Macaca fascicularis: one gene and its partners. The protein of the gene in region 5 purifies or fractionates together with the protein of the main gene of each other region. This does not show direct contact. Links are inferred from orthologs where the notes say so. Each region holds a gene or a part of one and is shown on either strand. Other genes may lie near its edges. The genes, in order: KAT2A, FOXJ2, QSER1, FAM216A and MAGEA10.

Region 1 (5,470 bases), on a different chromosome or scaffold from region 5:
ACTCCTGGCCAGACCAGTTCGTGCAGAGACCTCCCTTTGCCCAGGACTCCACCCCACTTGAAGGAGGTGGGGCAGGACTCCCTCAGAACCCATCAGGACTCTGCTCTGCCCAAAAGCGGGAGGCGGGAGTAACACAGGCTACACCTGCCCCCTGCCCAGCCCAGGTCTCACCTGCTCTAGTCGGTAGGTCTGCCCAGGGCAGTCCCACTTAATTCAGCCTAGTGCTACTGTGCTCAGCTCAGAGACCCGAAATGGAAACTGAAACTGAGGGAAGGAGCCAGCTGAGCCGACTTAGGAATCTCCCATCCCCGCCCCGGGAAAAAGAACCAATAAAAAAGAACCGTTTGTGCTAACAGTCATCGCCAACTGCCGCGAGTACAAACTCCGGGACGAGTACTGCCGCTGCGCCAGCGCCGTGGCAGGCATGATCACCTCCCATTGGTAGGGCCACAGCTCCATTCTGGGAATGGCCGGGGACTCAGACCCACTGGCCCCTCCATTCATCCCAACTCCTGGCCAGACTGGTCGGTACAGAGACCTCCCTTTGCCCAGGACTCCACCACACTTGAGGGAGGTGGGGGAGGACACCCTCAAAACCCTTCAGGAGACTGCTCTGGCCAAAAGGTGGGGGTGGGAGTAACACAGGCTACACCTGCCCCCTGCCCAGCCCAGGTCTCACCTGCACCACCAGGTAGGCCTGCCCAGGGCGGCCCTGTTTAGCTCAGCCTGGTGCCGCTGTGCTCAGCGCAGACAGCAGAAATCGGAAATGGAAACTGAAACTGAGGGGAGGAGCCAGCTGAGCCGATTTAGGAATCTCCCATCCCTGCCCGAGAAAAAGCCCCATGTGTGCTAACAGGGAAGCACTCTTTCACTGCTACGGGATCCTCTATGCTTTGGCCCTTTTGCGGTCAGTTGTAACCACGTCCACCCAAGTTAAGGTTAAGTCAGGAGGTTCTGACCCCTGCTGCCCTGGCATCTGGATCAGGAGCAGCCTGGAGGAGGGAAGAGGTGGGGGGCTGCAGCCAGGTAGGTCTGCCCGACTAGAGCAGGTGAGACCTGGGCTGCGCAGGGGGCAAGTGTAGCACAGGACCAGGTCTGAGGCTTGCTGGGGAGAGCAGCCTCCAGTTTGCAAGAGGTCCCTGGGGGGCCAAGGTGAGCCTGCTAAGGCTGGGACTATACCAAAGAAACAATCACACAGAGAAATAAAAAGCTTTATTGTTCCCTCTAAGGGATTAATGCCAGGGAATGAATGGTCCCCATATCCCCACCCCGGGGGAGACTGACAGTACAGTACCGGACAAGGCATGGCCCCCTCCAGTTTGGACTGAACTTCCAATCCCTGAAGCCATCACTCAAGCTAAAATGAGCAGTCCTGGTCCTCAGGGAAATAGCCACCTGGGAATCCAAGCCTCCAAAGCTGTTAGGGACCAGGTCTGGGGGCCACCACGGCTGGGCAAGGTTCATCCCGTCCCACCAGCCACTCTAGAGGGACTGGGCCCCAACCCAGGAAACCTCTCACACACAGTGAAGGCTGGGACAGAGCTGCAGGCTTGGGGGTGCCTGAAGGTCCAGAAAGGGATGCAGGATCAGGGGCCGGAGGGCCCTTGGCTAGAGTGTCTCAAGCTGAGTTGGGTCCGTGGGGCCAGGGCATCCCCTAAGGATCAGATCAGAATCCGAGGTGGAGACATTCAAGGTCAGGGCTGTGGCCCAAAGCTGGGCCTACTTGTCAATGAGCCCTCCTTCCTTGAGCTTGAAGTAGAAGAACTTCTCCAGGGCGCTGGCGCAGCGGCAGTACTCGCTGTCCGGGGGGTTGTACTCACGGCAGTTGGCGATGACCCGCTGCAGGTCGGCCACAAAGAGCTTCCGGGTCACATAGTAGCGGCTTCGCAGCCGCTCAGTCATGGTCTTCAGGTCTGGGGCAGCAGGAGGCGGAGCACAGCTTTAAGAGGCTGAGGACCACGGCAGGGCTGTCCACCGGGGTGGGCCCCATGGGGCTGCAGGGCGCAGTGAGGGCAGGAGCAGGTATGGGGATGGAAGAGGGGGGAAGGAGATGGAATGGAGGGTCCTCACCAATGGGGAAGCGGATGACCTCGTAGTAGTCAGGGGCCTCCGACTTCTTCACAGGCTCCATGAAGGGCCAGGCACTGGGGTGCGACTGGAGAGAAGAGCCGAGCTGGGGACAGCCCTGCTGCACCCACGCCAGCCCGAGAACGCCACCCACCTCACACTGCATCAAGAGGCCACAGCCATTGGTGCAGGGGCCCCGGAAAGGCAACCTGGTCTCCCCACCTTGATTTGGGCCAGCAGGTTTTTGAGGGTTGTGTAGAGCTGGTCGGGGTCCTTCAGCTCCTTCCTGGGGCGAGACACACCAAGTCTGAGGCTCCGAGTCCCTCTGCCCCGCCCCCAACCTGGCTCCTTTGACAAAACACTCACCCCTTCTCCTTCCCCAATGGCTTCCAGCCCGTCTCTCCTGCAAAGTGGGAAGTGGGAGAATGTCTCTAAGAATGCCGATCCGCATCCCAAGCAGCGTGCCCCCACTACCCCGCAACCGAGACCTCTGCTTACGAATGCCAGGGACACTCTCCACAGGGATCTGCCTCACTCCCTCCTTGAAGCAGCTGAGCCCCGGGTAGACCTTGCGGATCTGGGCCTGTTTGCGCTCAATCAGCTTCTTGATGATCTGAGGGAAGGAAGGGTCTAAGGGGCCAGCTCCAGCCCCAGCAACAACCCCTCCCAGGGCCACAGTCAGAGCCACCAGCTGCACCCACCCAGATGCAATGCCACCTAATCCAGCACCTCCCTTCATACCTTCCCCAAGGGAGCAGAGCAAGAACCAAGATCCTGGCCTGTCCCCTCCTCACTCACACACATACACGCATGTACACGTAGTACAGGTCTACACACGTGCGCTCGCCCTCCGCATGCACATTCATGAAAACTCCCACAGATGCGCACGTGCGCACACCACCTCTTTCTGCTTCTTGATGATGTGGGACAGCTCTGTGTAGGGGATGCGGGGATTCAGCTCACACTCCATCAGTGTCGCTCCCTCGTAGTCCTTGATGTAGCCCAGGTATCGGCTTTTGGGCACCTTGATGTCCTTGGAGAAACCCTGGGGGGTGGATGGTCATGACCCAGTCCATCCATATTTCCCAACTTCTGTAGTCCCTCCCCTGGGAGCACCAGAGGGGTGGCACGTGCCATGTGACACCTCCTGCTCCTGAACCTCCTCCTGGGGCACTGAGGGTTTGAACTGTCCCTGGAAAGGTCCCAGGTCAGCTGCCCACTCCTGACTCATCCCGAAGAGCCCCCCAGTTCCTTCAGGCTGCTCTACTGGCCCCCCAGTTCCTCCAGGCTGCTCTACTGGCCCCCCAGTTCCTCCAGCCTGCTCTACTGGCTCCCCAGTTCCTCTGGCCTTCTCTACTGGCCCCCCAGTTCCTCCAGCTTGCTCTACTGGCCCCCCAGTTCCTCCAGCTTGCTCTACTGGTCCCCCCAGTTCCTCCAGGCTGCTCTACTGGCCCCCCAGTTCCTCCAGGCCACTCTACTGGCCCCCCAGTTCCTCCAGCCTGCTCTACTGGCCCCCAGTTCCTCCGGCCTTCTCTACTGGCCCCCCAGTTCCTCCAGCCTGCTCTACTGGCCCCCCAGTTCCTCCAGGCTGCTCTACTGGCCCCCCAGTTCCTCCGGCCTGCTCTGACTCCCCAGTTCCTCTGGCCTTCTCTACTGGCCCCCCAGTTCCTCCAGCCTGCTCTACTGGCCCCCCAATTCCTCCAGCCTGCTCTACTGGCCCCCCAGTTCCTCCAGCCTGCTCTACTGGCCCCCAGTTCCTCCGGCCTTCTCTACTGGCCCCCCCAGTTCCTCCAGGCTGCTCTACTGGCCCCCCAGTTCCTCCAGGCTGCTCTACTGGCCCCCCAGTTCCTCCAGGCTGCTCTACTGGCCCCCCAGTTCCTCCGGCCTGCTCTACTGGCCCCCCAGTTCCTCCGGCCTGCTCTACTGGCCCCCCAGTTCCTCCGGCCTGCTCTACTGGCTCCCCAGTTCCTCCGGCCTTCTCTACTGGCCCCCCAGTTCCTCCAGCCTGCTCTACTGGCCCCCCAGTTCCTCCAGGCTGCTCTACTGGCCCCCCAGTTCCTCCAGCCTGCTCTGACTCCCCAGTTCCTCTGGCCTTCTCTACTGGCCCCCCAGTTCCTCCAGCCTGCTCTACTGGCCCCCCCAGTTCTTCCAGCCTGCTCTGGCTCCCCAGTTCCTCTGGCCTTCTCTACTGGCCCCCCAGTTCTTCCAGCCTGCTCTACTGGCCCCCCAGTTCCTCCAGCCTGCTCTACTGGCCCCCCCAGTTCCTCCAGGCTGCTCTACTGGTCCCCCAGTTCCTCCAGGCTGCTCTACCGGCCCCCCAGTTCCTCCGGCCTGCTCTACCGGCCCCCCAGTTCCTCCGGCCTGCTCTACCGGCCCCCCAGTTCCTCCGGCCTGCTCTACTGGCCCCCCAGTTCCTCCAGCCTGCTCTACTGGCCCCCCAGTTCCTCCAGCCTGCTCTACTGGCCCCCAGTTCCTCCGGCCTTCTCTACTGGTCCCCCAGTTCCTCCAGGCTGCTCTACTGGCCCCCCAATTCCTCCAGCCTGCTCTACTGGCCCCCCAGTTCCTCCAGCCTGCTCTACTGGCCCCATAGGCCCCCATTCTCCCCTGGGGCAGTGGCAGCAGAGGAAAGAAGATAGGCATGGAGACTTTCCTGGCAGGTGTCAGGTGAAGTAGGGGACATAAAGGGACTCCTACTCCATCAACAGAGGGGCTGGACAGAATGACCCCAGGCTTCAGGCAAAGGACCAGTGTGGGATAAGGCTACGGGTCACCTGCTTTTTGAAGTAGCCGATGGCGTACTCGTCCGCGTAGGTGAGGAAGTAGAGAATGTTGTGCTTGATATGATACTCCTTCAGGTGGTTCATCAGGTGGGTCCCATAACCCTGTGGGGGAGGGGAGCAGGACTCACCAGGAGCTGAGGATGGGCCTGGTGCTGGAGAGGTCTCAGAGCCCAGAGTGGAGCGGGTGGATTGGAAAGGAGGTGGGGAAAGGGAGAGCATCCAGGCAAAGAGAAAGAAAGGCAGCTGACAGAGGGAGGGGAGTTTATGGGAGAAAGTGAAAGGTAGAGGCTTTCTAAGCTCACTCTGGGCCAGGTGCAGTGCTTCCTGTTTTACAGACCGATTCTCAACCCCAGAGGCGAGTAGTACCACCTCTATTTTAGAAAAGAGAAAACTGAAACTCAGCTATGTTAGGAAATGCGTTCAAGGTCAGGCTGCCAGCCGTGGCAGGGCCGGGTCCAAACCCAACACAGGCCAGCAATTCTCAGTCCCTGGGCCTCAGAGTTGGGAGAGGAGGGAGAGGGAGTCACCAGAGGCCTGAGCAGGAGCAATGGCTCCCACACATCAGGGCCAACGATGCGCCACGCAGATCTGAGGTATGTGACACACAGAGCCAGCGACCCTAC
Region 2 (6,427 bases), on a different chromosome or scaffold from region 5:
CCCAAAATAATGGCATGAGGCTAATGTTCAGGGCTATTATTAGAAAGGCAAACAAGAGGTACTTCCATTTTTCAGTCCAACCAACCTAGTTACCCAGACCTCTCTCTCCAGGTGGGCCTTGTGCCACGGGGCTTGGGCAGAACCTGAGTCAGGCCACATTCTTCTCTGTGAGCTGGAAGACTGAAAGGAAATACCCATAGAAGCTGGGAAAGGCAGCCAAAGGGCAGGCTCCATCACATCCACAGGACGTCTAATGAAGACTACAGAACTGGGAGAAAGGCAGAGAAAAAACAGACAGACATTCTGGGAGTGAAAGACTGATCCTGGATGAAACATATAAGATCCACAATAATAGGCTCAGTTTTCTTCCCATTTTATCTGAAAGGCCACTAATTGTTCTAATGCCAATGTCAGGTATTCACATGTGATAACTTCCTGCCCCGTACAGAATGCCAGAGCAAAGAGGGCAGTGGCTAGGTGTAGCACATGAGGAGTTAGGCTGCCTGAGTTTCTTTCTTTTTTTTTTTTTTTTTTTCTGAGAGAGAAGTCTCGCTCTTGTCCCCCAGGTTGAGTGCAATGGCTTTATCTCAGCTCACTGCAACCTCAGCCTCCCGGGTTCAAACGATTCTCCTGCCTCTGCCTCCCAAGTAGCTGGGATTAAGGCGCCTGCCACCACGCCCGGCTAATTTTTGTATTTTTCGTAGAGACGGGGTTTCACCATGTTGGCCAGGCTGGTCTCAAACTCCTGACCTCAGATGATCTGCCCGCCTCGGCCTCCCAAAGTGCTGGGATTACAGGCGTGAGCCACCGCGCCTGGTCAAGCTGCCTGAGTTTCAATCCCCAGCTCCACTAGTTTGATTGTTGTAAGGATTACCTTGAGTTCATATTTTCAGAGCACTCTGTAAGTGCTAAATAAATGTAGCTATTGTTTTTGAATGGGGAAAAATGAGAATATTAGAAATTAAAAATTAGCAAACTGACAGACTCTAGATGGGAGTGGAAGCAGCAAGCCTGCAGTGGTTTGCATCACAAAGCCTGCACTGAGTCTGCAATGCTTTTCAGGATGTCGGAATCTCAAACTTTTCCTTTGGAGATAACCACCCAGTACTAGATAATGCGAGGATCAGGAAGACTCCAGGGATGAAGGAATGAGGGACTATCATCTCTTATCTTCCAGGGAGAACTAAGTGTAGTCCTAAGACATGGTCTGGGAAAGTACTCTCTAAACCACAGTTAATCCCACTCAGTAGCCACCTACTTCTAACTGATTCCAGAGAGGCAAGGAGGGTTAGGGAACTCAGTCCAAACAGGACCAGTTAAACTGTGTGGCGGTGGCGGACTTGGAGGTGTTGTGATATAGTTCACCCTGAGCCATTCAGGCAGGTGGTGAAGTACTTTATAAGAAACAGGCTGCTGTTAACCAGAGTGGCCTCTTTTGTAAAAGGTAGGGGAGGGAGCTCCGGAGTTAGGAGTCAAGGATCCTCATCCTTTTGCAAGCAGCAGTATCAGCAATGAAGCTCTCTTATTAGTCCTAGAAGAAATGATCCCAACCTGAGACTGGGCTGCCCTGCTGCTTAAAGGACTGTCCTGTAGACTGTCATGAGGGCTCCCACTGGCTGGGGGAGGCCAAGCCTTTCCCCTCAGGTGGGCATCCTTACCACCTCTCCATGTCCGTGTACAGGGGCACCTGCTTCTAGAGGCCCACCAGAAACACACAATTCTAGGTAACTGGAGTATAGTCTGAAAAGCACAGTAAGCACCTGTCTCCACACACTTACCCACTGGAAACAGAGAGAGCCACACTCACCTGAATTAAGAAGTATATGCATGTTGTCCTACAGCACAGCCACGCAAACCTGTGCCCTATCTCATATACCACCAGTAGCTTCCAGGACAAGTGAATGTGCTCAGGAACTTAGGTAGAACTCACCCATGCCCCAGAAAGAGGAGGAAATATGAAAGGCCAAGTCAGATGAAGCCTCCTTCACAACTTGTCCTTGCTGTGAGACAGAAGATAAGGTATCTGCTCATGGCGAGGCAGGAAAGCAGACACCCAGCTAGTGATCTCTCCTAAAAACAGCCCAGGCTTCAGGGGAGGATTTCCTGGTACCCTTTTCCTGCCTTTTCTGAAGATTCTGGACTTTGATAATTCCCTAGCTTATGAAGGAAAACTTTAACACAAGGTTCCGGGAACTCAGAACTGAACAAGAAACAGGAAGGGAGAGGATGAGACTATTAGGTACTTTTCTGGAAGGAAACTTTATATACTCCTCAAAAGTGAAATTTCTCCAGTGGTCAACTTGTTTAGATGGAAATCTGGAGAGAAGTGGAGCAGCAGCCCTCCTCCCTTCGTATCCAGGATCTAATTTTTCCTGAAGAATTGTGAGCAAAAAACAGGAGCTGAGAAGGAGACTGGGGCAGTGGTACAGGGCCAGCATCAAGGAAGCACTTCAACCCAGGAGCTGGCATTCCCCTGCACACTTTCTTCTCGCCTCAGAACATGTGGGATTCCCATTTTCCCTTTGGATTTTATGGGCAGAGGCATACATCCAGCTAGCAATGGAAATGTCAGGAGAGGAGGCCTCTTGGTGTCTGAGATAGGATGAGCAGGAACAGACTGCTTTTCTTGTCAAGGGAGCAGTAATTGCAGTAAGCTGGAGGGAACACCTCTGGTGAACACTAAGCTGACCTCGGCGTGCCCTGGGCAAGGCCAGGACACCAGATGCCACCGTGATTTTCATGAGAACCCGCTCTCCAGGTGCAAAGGCCCAACGTGAAGGGCGGTCTGGGAGTCTTACCACTGGTTGGGTTGTGTACACAGCATGCACGTTCTCAAAACGCAGCCGTTTTCCGATATCCCTTTTCCTCAGCATGAAAACATCCACTTCCCTAAGGGACCTAAAATGAATCCCATCCCTTTAGTCCCCAAACACTAAGAAACCCATTTCTCCGAGCTTCTGCCGCAAGATGTGAGTTCAAATCCAGGAGGCCCTTGGATCACATTTCCCACTGGATTTTCTGAGTCATCACTCTTGTCTTCCCCGGTAGTGAAACCCACGATCCACCAGCTCAACCCCGTACACCCACTAGTGCCAGACGATGACAGAGAGAAGATGAAAGAAAGCACTAACCTGTCTCCAAGGTTCCCCTGGCAAAGGGAGGGAAGCACTTGGTACTGGAGTTTGGGGCTGGAGGGATTCCCCTCTTCAGAGACAGGTGACGGCGCTCATCCTCAGTGGCTCTTCCTGTACTTGGCTGAGCCTCCCAAGTTGGTGAGGGGAACTTGGTCCCCTGAGGATGAGGAGCCAAGGGAGGAGGAGGGGGAGGGGGAGGAGAAGGAGGTCCTACTTGGGGAAGGTGGCACACCCCCCACACCCTGCTTGTTACCCTGGGGAGGAGGGGAGGAGCCTCTCCCAACCAGGAGTTGTCTCCTCCCCCTTGGGGGAGTTCCCCTCCCCCCCAAACTGGATCTTTCTGAGTTGGAGGGCTCTTTCTGTCTGCTGGAGATCTGAGCGGAGGGGCTCTACCCCGTTCCACTGTCTAGGCACGAGGAAGTTGAGGGGGAGGCCTCCCCTCTCCAGAAGGCTGAAAGCCGATTCCTCTTCTTTCCCTGGAGTGGCTTCTGAACGTAAGGACTCCTGTCCCCTGTGAATATTGGTGGGCCGAGGGTGCTACTCCATAGGCAGAGCCCTCTCTCTCTTTGCCTCCAAAGTCCTGAACTGTTGAGATTGTGTGTTTGGAGGGGCGGGGGCGCGCTAGGGTGGTCTCACTCTGCTTCTCTGCGGAAAGCTCCCCTCTTTCCACTTCTGGGGGTCTCCTCCCCGGCCAGTACAGGGGTCTTCCTCGCCTCTAGGCAGAAGAGCGGCGTCCCCCCACGGGTCTCTTCTTTCCCTCACCCGAGTGGTAAGGGTCTTTTCTCTCCAACAGGGGGAGAGGTTGCTCGCGTCCCCGCTCCCGCCTCCGCTCCCGGGGTGCCCCAGAGGGTGGGGCTTTCGTACTCCCGGCTCTCCCTGAGCTGGCCTGGGCAGCACGGTCCGGGAGGCCGCGGCTGGAGACTCCGGTCCCTGCTACTGTGGCGGCAGCACCTCCTCTAGGGCCGTCCTGTCCGGTCCGCTCCCTTCGGTGCTTGGGGCTCCCAGCGCTGCCACCGCTCGGGCTCCGGCCAGTCCGGGCTCCCGGGGAGCCAGAAGGCGGACGGACAGTGTCAGGGCTCGGCGCGGGCTCGGGCTCGGCTCGGCTCCGCTGCAGGCCCCGGCTCCTCCCCGGCCTCCGCGCCGCGCTCCGAGCCCCTCCCCCTCCCCCGCCCGCCGGCCGCCGCCGCCACCGCCTCCCGGCGCGGGTTAAGGAGGAGCCGGGCGGCGCCGAGCCGCGAGCCGCGAGCCGCGCCGTCCGGTGTGCACTCCGCCTGGAAAGCCACGGCTGCGCTCATGCCGGCGAGGGGTCTCGCAGCCCTAGCCCCGCTGCGGCCGCGTGGCTCCGGGAGCTCGCTGTCTACCCGGGATGACAACTCACTGCTCCCCGTCGGGAGATTCCCTCGTGCGCACCGTACACCATCAATTCCAGCCGACACCCCGACCCCGGCGTTTCATTGTTAAACTCCGAATACAGATGAACAGCCCCAGCTTTCTCAGGACTGTCTTTGATGGGCTTCTCTTTCCCTCGAGATAATTTATAAAGGATCATGAGCATTGAGTTGAAGATTGGGGTGAAGTTTATATGTTACCCTTATATCATCCTGGAATTTAGTAAATGCTCCTTGAATGAGTGGATACATGATAAATGAGCGTGTAACGGTGAAATAAACATCAGAAGATCTGGGTCCTGTACCTTGTTCCAGCTTCGTAAACTTGTGCATGGCCCTTGTTCTCTGCAATCTTGCTCAGCGAAGAAGGGAACTTGATATTCGGCCTGCTTACCCTTTACAGCTGTCACATCCTGGAGTCACATTATTCTGCTGCAAATTCTTATATATTTCATACTCTGGCTTTTTTTTTTTTTTTATTTGAGACGGAGTTTAACTCTTATTGCCCAGGCTGGAGTGCAATGGCGCGATCCCGCGTGCAATGGCGCTATCTCGGCCCACTGCATCCTACGCCTCCTGGGTTCAAGTGATTCTCCTGCCTCAGCCTCTGGAGTAGCTGAGATTACAGGCGCGCGCCACCACGCCCAGCTAATTTTTGTATTTTTAGTAGAGATGGGGTTTCTCCATGTTGGCCTGGCTGGTCTCGAACTCCTGACCTCGTGATCCGTTCGCCTCGGGCTCCCAAAGTGCTGGGATTACGGGCGTGAGTCACTGCGCCTGGCCCATACCCTGGCTTTTTAAACTTTTGTCAAACTACCCTACTTTCTTTCCTTTCTTTTTTTTTTTTTTTTTTTTTTTTTTTTAAATACAGACGGGGTCTCAGTATACTGCCCAGGCTGGTCTTTAATTCCTGGGTTTAAACTATTCTACCGTTTTAGGCCTCCAAAGTGCTGGGATTACAGGCAGGAAACACGGCCCCGGCCTGCTCTCTACTTTATATCACATAAAATAATAGGAGACCCGGCGCGGTGGCTCACGCCTGTAATTCCAACACTTTGGGAGGCCCAGGCCAGGGGATCACTTGAAGTCAAGAACTGGAGACCAGCCTGGCCAACGTGGTGAAACCCCTGTCTCTACTAAAAATACAAAAATTAGCCGAAGGCCGGGCGCGGCGGCTCATGACTGTAATCCCAGCACTTTGGGAGGCCAAGGCGGGCGGATTACAAGGTCAGGAGTTCTAGACCAGCCTGGTCAATATGGTGAAACCCTCGTCTCTACCAAAAATACAAAAATTAGCCAAGCGTGGTGGCGGACGCCTGTAGTCCCGGCTGAGGCAGGAGAATCGCTTGAACCCGGGAAGCGGAGGTTGCAGTGAGCCGAGACCGCGATACTGCACTCCAGCCTGGGAGACGGAGCCAGATTCCGTCTCAAAAAAAAAAAAAAAAAGGAATTAGCCGGGCATGGTGGCGCGTGCCTGCAATCCCAGCCACTCGGGAGGCCGAGGCAGGAGAATCACTTGAAACCGGGAAGCGGAGGTTGCAGTGAGCTGAGATCTTGCCACTGCACTCCAGCCTGGGAGACAGAGTGAGACACCGTCTCAAAAAAAAAAAAAAAGATAATAAGAATACAAAAATATTACTTGCAAAATATTTGAATTGCCCGCCAAAGACCGCATACTTAAGTTATATGTATATATTAATAATGATATTTATAATATGCCAGGCATTGCACTGATCATTCTGCGTGCGTTATCACATTGATGATTCCAGCAATTTCCTAAAACACTATTATTATACTTATTTTACAGATGAGAAAATTGTGACTTCCAGATACTATGTGTGAGTTCACTTAATTAGTAAGTAGCAAAGTCAGTACTTAAATCCAAATGACTCCAATGCCCAGCTC
Region 3 (5,639 bases), on a different chromosome or scaffold from region 5:
AGAGTAGTCTACACAGAGAAAAATGTGTTCAAAGGTTCACAACTGTGGAAGGGGGACAGACATCCAAGAAACAATGAAAAATTCAATTGTCACAGAAGAGGGACGGTGGAAAGAAGAGTAAAACACAGAAAAATGAATTTTTACATATAATCTTTATTTTTCCCATGAAGCATAGAGGTATTTTGAAACAGAAGTAACAATCAGCTTTCCTTTTTCATAAAGATGAATCTGTTGATAATGTGGAAGATGGACTGGCATACAGACTGGTGAGAAAAAATTCTAGGCCAGGCACAGTGGTTCATGACTATAATCCCAGCACTTTGGGAGGCCAAGGCGGGAGGACTGCTTGAGGCCAGGAGTTCAAGACCAGCCTGGGCAACATAGCAAGATCCCATCTTTACAAGAGATTTTTTAAAAAATTAGCCAGGCATGGTGGCATGTGCCTGTAGTCCCAGTTGCTCAGGAGGCTGAGGAAGGAAGATTGCCTGGGCCCAGGAATTTGAGGCTTCAGTGAGCCAATATCACACCACTGTACTCCAGCCTGGGTGACAGAGCAAGACTCTGTCTCTTAAAATAATAAAAAAAGAAAAAATGTTTGTAATGAGTAGTCAGTTACAGTAGTCCACATGACAAATGATAGCTTTTTTCAGATGAGGCAACAGGGATGGTGATAAGAGAACTTCGAAGACATAATAGTAAGGATTGGGTTGACAGTGATGATTTTAACTAAAAATGAGATAACATATGTCTGGAAGAAACTAGTTTTAGACTCATGTTTTAGAACCGAGATTACAAAAGGTTTATTCTGGGAATGTAAGAGGGAATAGAATAGTGATTGCAAAGCACTCTGAATTGGGGGAGACGTTATAAAACCGTACTAGGATTAGACATGGTAGTAATGTCTTTGAATCTAAGACTGACTTTCTATCATGTTAATTTCCCTGTGTAATGAAATGAGAATTCTTTAGAAATGTATTATCAGATATTTATGCTAACAGATTATTTGGATACCAGTTGTCACGTAACACTTTAGAAGTTAAAGGTAGTCAAGTCCAGAGAGAAGCTGGGAAGTATGTTACAAAACAAAGTTTAAGTCTTCAAGCACCACCCTATTTATCCTAAAGAGCTGAGAAAGAATGTGGGCTCTAGAACCAGACAAACCTGGGTTCAGATTCCAGCTCTGTCACTTACTAGGGGTATGGGCCCACATAATTCATTTATTCTCAGTTATATCATCTGTATATTGGAGATAACAATGTGTATCTCACAACATTGCTACTAGTTCCTGGCACAGAGGTGGCAGTTGTATTATTGTTACAAATAAATTTTTCCTTGGCATGTTTCTTACAATAGAAAATTCCATACTTACTGCCAATTGTTTATATAAAGTCAATGCTTCTTAAAATATTTCCTCTAAAGCTCCCTTAGCCACAGAGTCAAGTGAAACACATACCCAAAGATTTGGGTATATAATCTGGAGCCAGCACAAAATTTTTAAATTTTATCTTAATTATTATACGCATGCTGCATATAACCATATTTAATGGTTCAGATTTTAACTCTGTAACATCCCTGTTGTCTCATCTGTCTCATTTGTCACTTGGACTACTGCAACATATTTAAACATAACCATATTTAATACTAAAATGTTAATCTTCAGATAAAATTGGCAAACTAAGAAAATGTATCAGGTTTATACTACAGCAATACCCACGATACAGTGCCTCAATTACCTCACAATGTCTCAGATTAGAGAAATCTGGATGGCACACTGTACAGATTATGCTGCCTTTGGCAAAAAGCCAAGAAAAATCAGAACTACTTAACCTAAAACCCAGACCTTTCCTATAGGCAAGAAAATTTTTTTTAAAAAGTCCTTAAGATACCTACCTATACATTTTGTCCTGAAAATATACTTGCAGACCTGCTTTAAGTGAAAAAAGCTTAAATGTGAGCTATAGCCCGAAAAAGAAGAAAGTAATAATTATGAATCTAAATTTTAAAACTTTACCTGTTTTCTTCTTTTTATCAGAAGTAGCATCCAAAGTAGTTAAGGGAGTAGAGATGCTTTTATAAGCATCTTGACTACATCCAGGATCATCTTCATCAGAAGAAAATGAAGATAAATGTTCCAAGTTTTTAAGTTCATTATCAACTTTATCTGATGGACTGTTACCGCCAGTTTCAGACACTGAAGGTGTGGGTGTTGTAGATGAAGGCTTGGGAAGTGGTGGGGGACAAAATGTACGAACCATCTGGGTCCCTGGCCGTCTAGTCCTGTTAGGCATTCGTACAGCAAGAGTGGAAAACTGCTGCTTGGGCCCAGATTTCAGGAAATCTAAGAAAGACGCAATAAATCCTGTTTTGACTTCTGGTTGTTTCTCCTCCACCTCTTTGATCTTCTGTCTCATTTTTTCTTGATGCTGATAACCATCATGGCAGCTTTCTGAGGAAGGAGGAGTATATGGTAAGTATATATCTGTTCCCCTTGGATTCTGGCGTTTGCCTTGGGCAGGTCTTTTCAGCTGTTTCTGATTACTATTGTCTTCCTCTTTAACTTGCCCTTTTCCTTTAGTTCTTTTCTTTTGAAGGTTAAAATGCATTAAATCTTGGTTTTCTTCTTCAATCTTGACACTGACTGCATCCCCAGATTGGGCCATGGCCAACAGTGCAAGTGCACTCCTAGCTGGGTTCATTGACACACCACTGTCCTCACCCCCTAAGGTAAATTCACTCTCTGATGTAGCACTCTCTCCACTTATACTTCTACTACTAGAAACAAACTCTTGGTTTCTGTTATTATTTAATGTACTATCAACAGGAATTTCACTGTCTTCTTCAGATTCAAGATTGGTAGCAGACTGTTTCTTGAATGGGCCAGAACTTTGCTCCTGGACTTCATGACTTGGTCCAACCGCTGCTGAAGTTACTTTAGTTGGTATATTTTGACCAGGTGTTTCAATGTGCTGTTGATCAAGAGTCATTTTTGTCTGAAGGGCAGGTACTGGTGAAAGGTTCACAGTAACCTGATTTCCATTTAAGGAAGTATCATTTATATTCTGTGGCTTTCCTACTGTAGCTGTCATAGAGTTAAAATCTGAAGTCACATGCCTGACATCTAACGACTGCTGAAAATGAGATTTAGAATCACCATCTTCAACAGCCTGCATGGTTTCATTTGAAGTTGACTTGGAAAATTCAGAAGGTGTAACTCCACAAGCTGCTGCTGTAGCTGCTAAGATATCATCTACATTTGATAAAATATTTCTTTCATCACTAAGAAGCACTGCCTCTGGGAAACACATCGATCCAAGAGAAACAAACTGATTCTTTGAGTCATGTTGATTTGTTTCACTAAAATGGCCCTTTGTTGTTAGATGTTGTTGTAACGGTTTTGAAGACTCAGAGAGGTCCATTTTCATAACTTCAGAATTTTGAGGATGGAGTTGCTGCTGAGAATGATCACCATTGCTTTGAATAACATGACCTTCCATCTGAAGGAAAGGATGTACTATTTGTTGAGGGCTTTGAACACGCTGTGCTTGTAAAGATGCCTTTACTTGACCTAAACCTGCCTGCAGTATTGACTGCTGAAGAATCTGTAAATCACAGGCAGAATCTAAAAGGACCTGTGTATTAGGAAGAGATGCCTGATGGCCATGCCCTAAAGCATGATTTGGAATTTGAATCTGAGATGAAGCATTAATTATTTGATTGTGCTGTTCCTGGACCTTGGATTCATGCACCTTAAGTACAAGAGGATGCTGCTGCTTTAAGTCTTTAGTATTCAACCTTATTTGTGGAGTCTGTATTAAATTAGTTGCATTCTTAAGATCAAGGGTAGCTGCATTACTGACTTGGCCAATTTGTTGGTTAAGCTGTGTCACTGAACTAACAACGCTTTCTTCTTTCTTTGACGCTTGTAGAGCAACCCCAATAACTTGATCTTCAAGACGGGAATTACTTCTGATTACACTCTGAGAATATCTGTCATCTGCCTTTGACACCTTATAAGTTGATTCTTGAGCATTAATTTCCCCATCAGATAGCCTTTGGGTTGACGACTCAAGAGATGCTTGTGGCTGCAATACCTGTAACTCTTGCATTGGAAAACCATCTTCTTGCTTTGAAGATGTATACACATCTGAGTCAAGCTTTCTTTCAGCATAAGACTTTGGGTCAGGGGAGGTTATGTTATTTTGTAATGTCTGACAATGAGTAGAGGATGCAAAAGATGATGACTGGACACCAGGCAAAAACTTCTGGGACTGGGGAGATGATGACTCTTGAGTCTGAACATTTTGAGAAGAATGCATAGAAATATAATTCTGGGTCGGGCTAGAGTCTGGCAAATTCTGAGCCCGAGAGGCAGAAGAATAAGAAAGAGAAGGGGCTGTTAATGTTAGGGACTCCCCTGAAGCATAGCTTTCTGAAGGACTAACAACTGACAAAACTTGTGATTGAGATGAATAGCTAACCTGTGTCTGGCTAACTGGTGATAAACCCTGAGAATGACCAGATGAGTAACTTTGAGACTGACTGACTGAAGACAGATCTCTTGTTTGAGCAGGGTAATTCTCATTTGTAACTGAAGACAATACCTCTTGCTGATTAGATGAATAACTAAGCGTCTGATTTTCAGGAGTTATAGTCTGAGATGACCCAGAAAAAGTCAATGTTTTATACAAGGGTGGCAATTTTTCAACCTTGCTGGACCTATAAACCTGTGAATGAACAATAGATGGCACATTATGTGGCTGTACTAAACCATAATTTTGGGACTGACTGACTGATAAAAGGCTTGGTAGCTGCGCAGTAGAATAAATTTGTGCTTGGCCCGATATTACAGAACTCTGGTTATGTAAAGGTTTGGAATAGCTTAGTGTTTGCACAGGAGGAATTATACTTTGAGGTTTAGGGGTCTTGGTTGATGTTAGTGGTTGTTCTGTAGAACAGCTTTTTACTTTTGTAGTAGAAGGAGGATACCCTGATGATGGAATTGCAGATGAGTAAGACTGAGCAAGTTCCACTGAGACCTGGGAGGTCTTCTGTTGTAATCCTCCATTGCTCACCTGAGTGGAATCTCCAATTGGGCTACAGGATAAAGACTGCCTGGTTGTTTCCTGAAAATTAACTACACTTGAATTTGATAGATAACTATGTAAGGAGTGCTGTGAACCAGTCAGTTGTGCCTGAATTGACTGGGTACCTGAAGGCCGCTGATGGTGTTTGATAACACTACATTCTCGAAGAAGAGCTCTTTCAATGGAAGCAGTAGAACTAGTAAAGAGAGTTGAACTGTAGGCTTGAGGAGTCTGCTGGGCTCCCCCAAGTGCTGAAGGCAACAAACTAAATTGAGGTTGTAAAAGATGGGGTGCAGACTCTTGAGCTGAGCGGTATGTTGAAGACTGAGGTGGTATGCTGTTACTTAATACAGAACTGCCCAGGCGCTCAAATGCCAAAGCAGTTGGAACAGTTCCCTGGGAAGTCTTGATTTGTAGCAAAGGGTCATGATGACTTAAAATTCCATTTGATGTAGTGTTAAAAGTTGAATCCTGAAGCACCAAAGGTGAAGTGGTAGCAAAGTTTCTATTGCTGAAGGTGGTGGGATGTTGATAAGCAGAGAGAGATGGTGGAAG
Region 4 (4,745 bases), on a different chromosome or scaffold from region 5:
GATGACCTTTCAGAGCTCTTCTCTTATATTGTGTCATAATGTTGGACTCAGATTTTATTTGCTAAATAATATACCATATTGACATTAAATTAACAGTGATTCTTCAAACTGTTCTTATTTCCATTTTTCAAGGTTTAATAAAAGTTTTAACAATACAAGTTTAGGGGCCGGGCACAGTGGCTCACACCCTAATCCCAGCACTTTGGGAGGCTGAGGCAGGTGGATCACCTGAGGTCAGGAGCTCGAGACCAGCCTGGCCAACATGGTGAAATCCTGTCTATACAAAAAATACAGAATTAGCCAGGCATGGTGGTACATGCCTGTAATCCCAGCTACTCGGGAGGCTGAGGCAGTAGAATCACTTGAATCCTGGCCGGGCGCGGTGGCTCAAGCCTGTAATCCCAGCACTTTGGGAGGCCGAGACGGGTGGATCACGAGGTTAGAAGATCAAGACCATCCTGGCTAACCCGGTGAAACCCCGTCTCTACTAAAAAGTACAAAAAACTAGCCGGGCGAGGTGGCGGGCGCCTGTAGTCCCAGCTACTCAGGAGGCTGAGGCAGGAGAATGGCGTGAACCCGGGAGGCGGAGCTTGCAGTGAGCCGAGATCGCGCCACTGCACTCCAGCCTGGGCGACAGAGCGACACTCCGTCTCAAAAAAAAAAAAAAAAAAAAAAAAAAAAAGAATCACTTGAATCCTGGAGGTGGAGGCTGCAGTGAGCCGAGATCACACCATTGCACTCCAGCCTGGTCAACAACAGCGTAACTCCGTCTCAAAAAAAAAAAAAAATATATATATATATATACAAGTTTAGCAAGGAAGCACACTAGAGTAATATATAATGTAAAGAAGTTAGTGTAACTACTCCCAACTTAATCTAGTCTGAGAGTCCAAGTTATTTATGTGGCAATTTCATAAGATAGGGAAAATGTGTATTTACATTTTAAAGTTGTATTCAAATAGCAAATATTTATTGAGCACCTACTTTGCAAGTCAGAGCATTATCTCTGTCAAATGCTGTTCTGTATCTGGATATTTCAGAGCTTTCCTTAGCCCAATCAAGAAAATACTGGTAGGATATTCTATTTTTTCTTTTTTTTTTTGAGACGGAGTCTCACTCTGTTGCCAGGCTGGAGTGCAGTGGTGTGATCTCAGTTCACTGCAGCCTCCGCCTCTGGGTTCAAGCAATTCTAATTCTTCTGCCTCAACCTCCCAAGTAGCTGGGACTATAGACACGCACCACCATGCCCAGCTAATTTTTGTATTTTCAGTAGAGACGGGGTTTCACCATGTTGGCCAGACTGGTCTCAAACTTCTGACCTCATGATCCACCCGCCTCAGCCTCCCAGAGTGCTGGGATTACAGGCATGAGCCACCACACCTGGCCCTTGTAGGATATTCTAATATTGCTGTTTTAGGACTGTGAACAGAGAAATATGATGCATTTGTCAGATTTAAAGAAAAGTAATTCAATATTGAATGCAAGAAAAATTTTAATTGTATCTAGCTAGAAGTACAAGTATATGTTACATGTAAATTTTCTTACATAAATATCATTGGTACATGGAACTACATCAGACCAATTACATTGTTTTAAGTTTCTGAACAAACCAAAATTACTTAATGATTTAATGAATAACAATACCATCCTAAACATACAGGACACAACCCACAACCCCTTACCCTCACCTTTGGTACGAATTCAATACACAAGACAAGACTGTCAAGTTAACATCAGATGTTCTCCCTGTTCTTCAATTGACATTGATTGCATAAACTTATTTAGTAAATCTTCTTCCTTTTTTTCTTCACTCATGTATGATTCAGAATCATTTGAAGAAACTGAAGGAAAAATAAGAATGTACAATTTTCTGTTTTGGAAATAAAGCTCTAAGTACAACTTTCAAAATGACGTGGCTTATTAATAAGCCTGTAGTAAAGACAAATTGACTGAAATTTTCAAGGCTTTTAGTCACCTCACCCTTCCCCCAAGTTTCTTACTCTTTAAGATGCACAGTACTGTATTCTAACCAAGTTACTGTACAGCAAATTCTCTTGTTACTAAGTCCTATATTAGCATTGATTTTCAAAATCTTTTGGTTGGGGGAAATTAAAGTGGTCAGTTACATCTTCAGAATCTCCGCATTTTCTCTTGCGCTGGGGACCACAGGGACTTTCCCCCTACAGTTTCCACTAACTGTTCCTTTTGGAACCTGCCCTTTCCCTCATTTCTTGGATAGGCATGGTACGATATTTACAGCAGAGCTGGCTAACACTCATACAGTGATAGGATATCAATTCAGAAGGCCTAACTTCCCTACTTCTGTTTTGTTGTTTTTTGGGGTTTTTTTTGGAGACTGGAGTGCAGTGGCGCAATCTCAGCTCACTGTAAGCTCCGCCTCCCGGGTTCATGCCATTCTCCTGCCTCAGCCTCCTGAGTAGCTGGGATTACAGGCATGTGCTACCACGCCCGGCTAATTTTGTGTTTTTAGTAGAGATGGGGTTTCTCCATGTTGGTCAGGTTGGTCTCGAACTCCTGACCTCAGGTGATCTGCCGGCCTTGGACTCCCAAGTGCTGAGATTACAGGCGTGAGCCACTGTGCCTGGCCAACTTCCCTACTTCTTACCCACCTCCCTACTTCACTATGCTGATAACTAGGAAACTACTTAACATGGTTTAACATTATTAGTTCTTAGGAACACTTCTGATCATTCAGTCTGTCTTCCCTTTTTCATTTTGCAGTATTTTGTTCTTGTGGTAGAAGGATCTTTTATGCTGATCCTTCCAAAGTCTGGATTTGTTTGAGTTGCAGCTGTAAAATTTTGATAATATCACCTGCTTGGCTTGCCTCCACTGTTTTGTTGAATATCAAACAAAATGGTATACAGAAGTCCCTCCTTATCCACAGTTTTGCTTTCCAAGGTACAGTATAAGATATTTTGAGAGAGACCACATTCACATAACTTTTATTACAGTATATTGGTATAAAATTGTTCTATTTATTGTTGTTAATCTATATGCCTATTAAAACTTTATCAGAGATATGTATTTACAGGAAATAACAAAGTATATATAGGGTTCAGTAGTATCCAAGATTTTAGCCATCCACTGGGGGTCTTGGAACATATTCCCCATGGATAAGAAGGGCCTACTATAAGAGATATAGCCCTTTGTAAACTAATAGATGCTATACAAAATATGCTGTTCATCAAAAAATAGCACTAACTCATAAAAGAAGTGCTATTGCTTGAGAAAGTCATGTTTGTGGTTCTGGGTTCTGACAAATTCATTCTCTACTAAGTCTCTGACCTTGACATTGTAAATATCTTTAGCATTAGAAATACCTTGAATCTTACTCCTTTGAGCAGTATGTTCTTTTTTTCTTTTTTTTTTTGAGATGGTGTCTCACTGTGTCACCAAGGCTGGAGTGCAATGGCACCATCTCGGCTTACTCCCACCTCTGCCTCCCAGGTTCAAGCGATTCTCCTGCCTCAGTCTCCTGAGTAGCTGGGATTACAGGCGCCTGCCATCACGTCCAGCTAAGTTTTGTATTTTTAGTAGAGATGGGAATTTCGCCAGGCCAGGCGGGTCTCGAACTCCTAACCTCAGGTGATCTGCCTGCCTCGGCCTCCCGAAGTGCTGGGATTACAGGCGTGAGCCGTGGCGCCCAGCCCAGTATGTTCTTTTAATTGCAAGTGTAAACTATATTTTATGTTTGGTTTTTTATTTGTGACAATAAAAGCAAATCATATTCTAAATTTGTTAATATCTTCATAATAGAAATGAAATTGTATTTGGTATAGTATTTTTAAGCATAAGATCTTTTTTTTTTTTTTTTTTTGAGACGGAGTCTCGCTTTGTGGTCCAGGCTGGAGTGCAGTGGCCGGATCTCAGCTCACTGCAAGCTCCGCCTCCCGGGTTTATGCCATTCTCCTGCCTCAGCCTCCCGAGTAGCTGGGACTACAGGCACCCGCCACCTCGTCCGGCTAGTTTTTTTTTTTGTATTTTTTAGTAGAGACGGGGTTTCACCGTGTTAGCCAGGATGGTCTCAATCTCCTGACCTCGTGATCCGCCCGTCTCGGCCTCCCAAAGTGCTGGGATTACAGGCTTGAGCCACTGCGCCCGGCCCATAAGATCTTAAAAAATGCATATTGTTAAATTTCCACATTTACCTGTTTGCATGAACAGTTTCCTTGGTCTTCTAAAAATCTTCAGTGACTTACATCTTGTTTTAGATGCATATCCAGTTTTTATCCTATAAGAAAGGGAAGTATCTTAGTTGAAGCCAGCAAAGTGAACAGCTGCCTAGGGCATGTGGAAGACCACACAAATTCATTTTATTAACTGCCAACATCACCAAAACAAACCCTTTCAGCACCCAAATTATCCTGTAATTTCTTAACCCTGACATGTAAAGCTGCTGCAGTGCAATTTCAATACTCATGCTTCTTAATCTTCTTTCTCTCCCTGTTATATAGTATTCCCCTGTGCAAAACCAACCATATGCTTCTCCTTTTAAAAGTATTTGCATTATTTTGAGGTTGAGTGGGAATCACATTGAAAAGGGGAGTCATCCATAACTCTATCTGATGATTAAATTTTTATAATTCCACAAAATATATTCTAAAAGAAGTGGCATATTCTTATCAGTGCAGTAAAGGATAAGTATGAAAATCTCTCTCAGCCGGGTATGGTGGCTCACACCTGTAATCCCAGCACTTTGGGAGGCCGAAGCGGGCGGATCA
Region 5 (6,136 bases):
CACTGATATTTAGACATCCGCTATAAGAGAGATTTCCCGGAATGGGGCAGAACACTCAGAGTACTTCTGCAGGGTGTAGGCACACTCTGTGTCACAGGGAGAACAGGCGATTCTGGGCTTCTCTACTGTGTTCTGGGCACAGCCTTTAGCAGAGACCACAGTGACAAGCTATGCAGCAGGCCAGGTTCCAGATTTTCACAGGAGGGAACACTGGGGACAACCAGGGAAAGGGTGCTGTAATGTGGGGAAGTGCTGGCTCTGAACAGAAGTGCCAGCTCCTGGGTAGAGTCAGCTCTCAAGGAACCCTGGGGATTGACACAGGAGGTCCCTGGATTAATAAGGTCCACAGGCCGCCCTGAAATGGTGTTTGATTCTCATTGTCACCTTCTCTAGGCCTACTACTGATACTTTGGACTCAGAGTTCCTATTTTTGTCACCTGAAAGATATAGTACAGTGCTGAGAAGAGAAATGAAGTATTATTCAGGAGGTCGGCCTCAAGCTGGGAGGAGTGGGAACAGCATGGGATCTACAGAAATTCAGACCAGCAGTCTGGTTTCAGCCCTGTTACTTACTAGCCATGTGATTCTGGGAAATGCCCAAGCCCTGTGAGCCTTGGGTTCTTTATCTGTGAAGCAGGTGTGATAAGCCCTGTCCAATAGGACTACTGGAGTATGAGCAATATAAGTGAAGCACCTGGCTTAGGGCCTGGCATATTTAGAAGTTTAATGAATGGCAGATGGCTGTTATTTCTAATATTATTTGACCTCAAATCCCACCACAGTCTACTCAGCATTTTTTGTTGTCATTATTATCCAGTACATCTCAGAATATGCAGCTCAATGGGACATGGAATCCCAAATCAGTCACAAATGTTGCTTCATAAATAAAACTCTGTAAATTTTCCCTCTTAAGAGGATGTATTTTCAAAATTTCATGTGCAGGAGTTTCTCCCTGCTGGATGCTGCTCAAAGCTCATGGAATATGATTCAAGTATCAACTCCTTCCCTCTCTCCAAGGTTCTTTTCCATCCAAATCATGATTTTCATTCATTTCGTCACCAAATTCTAGCCCTTGCTTAGTGTTGTACAAATTACATAAAAAATGACCCAATTAAAATGTTTCTCTAATGGAGTCAGCTAACTTCTAGGCATCAATTCATAGGCTTATTTATTATGAGATCCTTATCTCTCAGGAGACCCTTGCATAAGATGAGCATCTATCACCTAGTTATTGTGCTATGTTCAACTGCACTGAGACAAGAGTGCAGAACACCTTCCATTCCTGCCCCAGGTGGACTCTTCTCTGTTCATCCACCACCCAAAAGGAACTGCTCAGAGCAGTTTTACATCCCAGGATTTTCTCTCTCAACTATGTGAGGCTCTGACCCTGGCACCACCCAGCTTCTTTGGATTCATCTTCACCAGAAGGAACTGCAGTTTCTCAAAGCCCCAAAAGTCCTGGCTCAGGAGATGTACGTGACCACTGTCACCTACAGCCCAATATTCTCATCCCTGTCTTACTTTTCCTCTAGGTCTTAGAGGATATCTCACCACCTTATTACTTGACTGTAGCCCCTAGACTCTACCACCCTATGGGTAAAGGTGGTTCTGATTTAACATTTCCACTACAGACCCAGGGCCTTCCAAAGACCAGATGCTCAGTGGATGTTTGGGGAAAAAAATGAACCAGTGAGCAAAGGTTTCATTTATTACAGTTTAATTTCGACTTAACAAAGATCCAGGGATATAACTTTTAACTTTGCAGGACGATAAAATAAAAATAATAAACAAATAAAAATACTAACACTTAACATTATTTTCTCTATTTTACTATTTTTTATATGTCCAAGAAAATTACTATTCTAGTTCCATGTTATTTTATTACAGATTACAAATAAGATCGAAGGGTTCCCAATTTGTTTAAAGAATAGCAAAACTCTTTCTTAAACTGGATAAACAGAAATAAATGTGTGACCTTAGATTCTGAAGCTCATAAACTCTCTAGTAAAAGTAACAACATTTTAAAATACCAAGAAGAGGCTGGGTGCAGTGGCTTACACCTGTTATCCCAGCATTTTGGGAGGCTGAGGCGGACGAATTACCTGAGGTCAGGAGTTCGAGACCAGCCTGGCCAACATGGTGAAACCTCATCTCTACTAAAAAATACAAAAAGTAGCCAGGTATGGTGGCATGCACCTGTAATCCCAGCTACTCAGGAGACTGAGGCAGGAGAATCGCTTGAACCCAGGACCCAGGAGGCGGAAGTTGCAGTGAGCTTAGACTGCCCGGGCACTCCTGCCGGGGCAATAGAGTGAGACTCTGTTAAAAAAAAAAAAAAAGAAAAAAAAGAAGAAGGAGAAGGAGAGAGAAGAGAGAAGAGAGAAGAGAGAAGAGAAGAGAAGAGAAGAGAAGAGAAGAGAAGAGAAGAGAAGGGAAGAGAGAAGAGAAGGAGGAAGAGGAAGCGGAAGAAGAAGAAATACCAAGAAGAAAAGAAAAGAAGTTCTCAAGTTATCCAAAGAGAACAGTAAGACAAAGATGTTATGCACTGTATTTTCCTCAGCCTCAGCCTGGCCCTCCACTACATACTTCATTGATTTCTCTTGTCATTTGTTTTCGTAAATTAAAAAAAACAAAAACAAAAAACTGACATGCAATTGTAGATATTTATGAGGTAAAATTTGATGTTCTGATTCATGTATATGTAGTATAATGATCAAATCAGGTAGTGTATCCATCACCTCATGCGTTTATCACTTCTTTGTGGTGACAATATTGAAAAGCCTTCCTTTTAGCTATTTTGTAATATACAATATCTTAATGTTAACTATAGTCATCCTACTGCGCAACAGAACACTAGAATTTATTCCTCCTGTTTAAATGTAATTTTCCATGTTGGCTAACTGCTTCCAAGCCCCTCTTCTCCTTCCTCTCCCCAATCTCTGGTAACTACTGTTCTACTCTCTACTTCCACGATATCAACTTTTTTTTTTTTATTCCACATATGAGTGAGATCATGTGGTATTTGACGTGCCTTTTAAAACACAGTGAAGAATCTGTCTTACTTTATTCAGGGTAGGAGAAGCTGCCTGTAGTACTAGAACTTGCACTGGCCATGGCAGTAGTATCATCTGTGGTGGCAATTCTAGCTTGGGCTCTCTCTTCCTCATCTTTCAAAGCCTCCTCATACCACAGTGGGAAGGATCTGGGATCACTCCCATTTACCTTGGCCAAAAATTTCAGGAGACTCATCTTCCTAATTTCAGCATGGGCCCTTGGACCCCACAGGAACTCATACCGTGCAGGATCACTGCCAGGCACCTGCCGGTATTCCAGGTAGTTTTCCTGCACCCAATCTTGGGTGAGCAGCTTCCTGGGCTCCCCATAAATGAAGTGCTCCATCCCATCATACAGTCCCATCATATTCAGTGCTTCCCAGATGACCTCCTCAGGGGTGCAGTAGCCCTCTATGAAGATTATGCTTAGGATAAGTATGAGAATGCCAGTCTTGGGCATGCTCTGGACATCACTCAGCATCCCATCATAGGTGAGGCCCAGGGAGGTGACAAGGACAAAGGAGTGGCCAGTGGGGTCCAGTTCTTTTACATCAATGCCAAAGACCAGCAGCATGCACTCGGAGGCTTCACTGAACACCACGGGGAAGTGTTCTTCATAATTTTTTATGACACTCTCCAGTATTTCTGCCTTTGTGATCGGCTCCTTCGTTTGATACTTGGAGAGCAGGAACTCCACCAAATCAGTCACCTTTTCATCTATCTCACTTCTGGGTAAAGACTCATTGTCTGGCAGGGCCTGTAGGGTGCTTGGACTCTCCTCCTTTTGGCTGCCGAAGCCCTCATCAGATTGGTCTAATGGAAGGGAGGCAATGACTGAGGGAGAGGAGCAGGCTATCTGAGCACTCTGGGGAGGATTTGGTGTCCCTTCATCAGCAGAAACCTCTTCTGGGGTGCTTGGTATTAGAGGATAGCAGGAGGAGGAGGAGGAGGAAGAGGAGGAGGAGGGAAAAGAGGATGGAAAAGAGGAGCTGGTGGAAGTGGATGATGAAGCATCCTCCTCCACAGCTGGGGGAGCCTGTGCACCCTCGAGGCCCTGTGTCTCACTTTGGGATTGAAGGTCTTCTTCAGGCATGCAGCGCTGACGCTTTGGAGCTCGAGGCATGATGACTCTGATCAGGGTAGCAGGTGGGAGAGTGGGCAGGAGTTGAGCGATGGGGACCCACAGGCCTGGGGAGAGAGAGAGGGTGTAAGTGGCCACAGCTGAGAACCACACTCTGGAGGTTCTAACAAAGGCCAACTTACAGGTCTTCTCTTTCAGTGCTGCTCTGTGGTGTCCCACAGCTCTTGACCTCTTGGTCTCCCTGTCCCCTGATAACCTGAGGAAGGAAGTGAGAGATGGCTCCCTCAGGATGCAGCCAGCAGAGGCCAAGGCTCCAGGACAGACAGTAGGGTAGCTGGAGTTGATGCAGTGGGGTCCACTTTGTTCTGGAGCAGGTGGGGCCCTTGGTACACATTCAGGGCATGCACCTCACCTTGACTCCTGGCACTGTCTGGGCCCTCTCTGCTCTGTGACCTGAAAACACCGCCTTAGACCAAGGCCTCACCTCACAGTCTCTGGAGCTCCTGGAAGAGGAACTGAGGGACCCTCAGAGTTCAGGCTGCAAGCACAGCCCCAGCCTCCCAGTGTTGTCAGGAGGGTGGGCTGGACTCTGTGAGTTCCGCACTACTCTGGGGTGGGTAGTCCCCTCTGTGCTCATACAGGGGCTCTCACCTTTCTCCTGGAGAAGCCTGGACCCTGCCCCTTTGCTGGTCTAAGAAACTCTCAGATCAAAAGTTTACATCCTAATACAAAATAGAAGACATGAGGGGACCCACATCTGGTCACAACTGCGGAGGTCCTCCCAGAAAAGACAGCAAAAGGTGGCCATATTCAGCTGGGTCCATGTGTCCTGGGGTTAGGAGCCTGCTTGGTCTTCATCTTGATGCCTGATAGGACCTGGGACCCTCCCTTTGTGGACCTGAGGCCACTTCCTTAAACCAAGGCCCTATCTCCAGGAGACATGGAAAGAGGAAGTGAGGGGAGTCCATCTACCCACAGTTCCCTGTGAATTCCCGTGGCTGACGGAGGGGCAGGGTGGGGCTGAGTCCTGTGCGTTTGGAGAATGGTGTCCCCTCAGTACTCACCTTGACTCCTGGCAGGGTCTGGGACCCTCCCTCTGCTGACCCGAGTGCAGCTCCCTTAGACCAACACCTCCCCCTCCCAGAGACCAGTGATCCTTGTATAAGACAGGGTGCCTCAGCAGACTGCCCTGACTAGGTTCTCCAGAGTGACAGTAGGGTCATGGCAGATTTCTGTGGGGCCCCTATCTGTGTTATGGGCTGGGGATATCCTCAAATTTCCCTCAGGTTCCTTACCTGGACTCTTGTCAGATCCTGCGACTCACTGTGTCTGTAGAAAAGAGGGGCTCCCTGTGTTGACTTCAGTCACCCTCTGAGAGCAAGGTTCTCACCTCCCTGAGATTCCAAAACAAAAATAAGAAGGAGCCACATCCTGTCACCCCTGTGGGGTGTCCAGGGCGGATATCTCCCCTTTACACCAAGACTCCATTTCCCTGAGGGTTCCTCAACTTCCTGCCTGTGGCAAAATTGAGCTTGCCACTTAGTGTCAATCCTGATCAGGTCCCCTCAGAGCTAAGAATAGGGGACAGCCAGACTCTGTGGCATCCCTTCTTTCTGGGCTGCAGGTACCTCCAGTCCTCACTAAGGGGCACACCTTGGGTCCTGCAGATTCTGGAACTCCTCCTTCTGTTGACCAAGTGTGGAACCTTGTGATAACTTCTCAGCAACCCTCAGACCAAGGTCCTCATCACCCTGAGACCCGGGAGGCAGAAATGGAGGAGGGGCACCACACGTTGACACCTGCATGGGATTCCCAAAGCTGACAGAAGGAGGAGATTTGGCGGGGGGGAGTGGAGAGGGGAGGGGGACGGGATGGAGACTTTCTTTATTTGGGTGTCCTCCCAAATAAATTCAGATTTACTCCCGACAGGGCCCAGCCCTTTCCCTCCTGCTGAACCGTGTATGAGTCTTGTACGCCAAGGCTACCATGTCCCTGGGATCCC

Evidence for each region.
Region 1: the proteins of MAGEA10 (region 5) and KAT2A purify together in Homo sapiens (affinity purification with mass spectrometry; 3 studies listed by BioGRID and IntAct, counting the BioPlex papers as one, with this or other methods). This does not show direct contact. The link is inferred for Macaca fascicularis from reciprocal best matches to the Homo sapiens genes MAGEA10 and KAT2A.
Region 2: the proteins of MAGEA10 (region 5) and FOXJ2 purify together in Homo sapiens (affinity purification with mass spectrometry; 3 studies listed by BioGRID and IntAct, counting the BioPlex papers as one, with this or other methods). This does not show direct contact. The link is inferred for Macaca fascicularis from reciprocal best matches to the Homo sapiens genes MAGEA10 and FOXJ2.
Region 3: the proteins of MAGEA10 (region 5) and QSER1 purify together in Homo sapiens (affinity purification with mass spectrometry; 3 studies listed by BioGRID and IntAct, counting the BioPlex papers as one, with this or other methods). This does not show direct contact. The link is inferred for Macaca fascicularis from reciprocal best matches to the Homo sapiens genes MAGEA10 and QSER1.
Region 4: the proteins of MAGEA10 (region 5) and FAM216A purify together in Homo sapiens (affinity purification with mass spectrometry; 3 studies listed by BioGRID and IntAct, counting the BioPlex papers as one, with this or other methods). This does not show direct contact. The link is inferred for Macaca fascicularis from reciprocal best matches to the Homo sapiens genes MAGEA10 and FAM216A.

The regions. Positions count from the first base shown.
Region 1 is NC_088390.1:63,156,074-63,161,543, forward strand, and holds the end of KAT2A (histone acetyltransferase KAT2A), read right to left. Parts: intron 4,950-5,470; coding exon 4,839-4,949; intron 3,113-4,838; coding exon 2,969-3,112; intron 2,681-2,968; coding exon 2,566-2,680; intron 2,471-2,565; coding exon 2,434-2,470; intron 2,354-2,433; coding exon 2,290-2,353; intron 2,156-2,289; coding exon 2,071-2,155; intron 1,914-2,070; coding exon 1,720-1,913; 3' UTR 1,198-1,719; downstream 1-1,197. UniProt on the Homo sapiens protein: Protein lysine acyltransferase that can act as a acetyltransferase, glutaryltransferase, succinyltransferase or malonyltransferase, depending on the context.
Region 2 is NC_088385.1:12,674,521-12,680,947, forward strand, and holds the start of FOXJ2 (forkhead box protein J2), read right to left. Parts: upstream 4,265-6,427; 5' UTR 3,132-4,264; intron 2,899-3,131; 5' UTR 2,799-2,898; intron 1-2,798.
Region 3 is NC_088388.1:32,649,370-32,655,008, forward strand, and holds part of QSER1 (glutamine and serine-rich protein 1), read right to left. Parts: coding exon 2,012-5,639; intron 1-2,011. UniProt on the Homo sapiens protein: Plays an essential role in the protection and maintenance of transcriptional and developmental programs.
Region 4 is NC_088385.1:117,362,664-117,367,408, reverse strand, and holds the end of FAM216A (protein FAM216A), read right to left. Parts: intron 4,256-4,745; coding exon 4,173-4,255; intron 1,842-4,172; coding exon 1,723-1,841; 3' UTR 1,475-1,722; downstream 1-1,474.
Region 5 is NC_088395.1:158,206,908-158,213,043, forward strand, and holds MAGEA10 (melanoma-associated antigen 10), read right to left. Parts: upstream 4,236-6,136; 5' UTR 4,177-4,235; coding exon 3,064-4,176; 3' UTR 1,769-3,063; downstream 1-1,768. UniProt on the Homo sapiens protein: Not known, though may play a role in embryonal development and tumor transformation or aspects of tumor progression.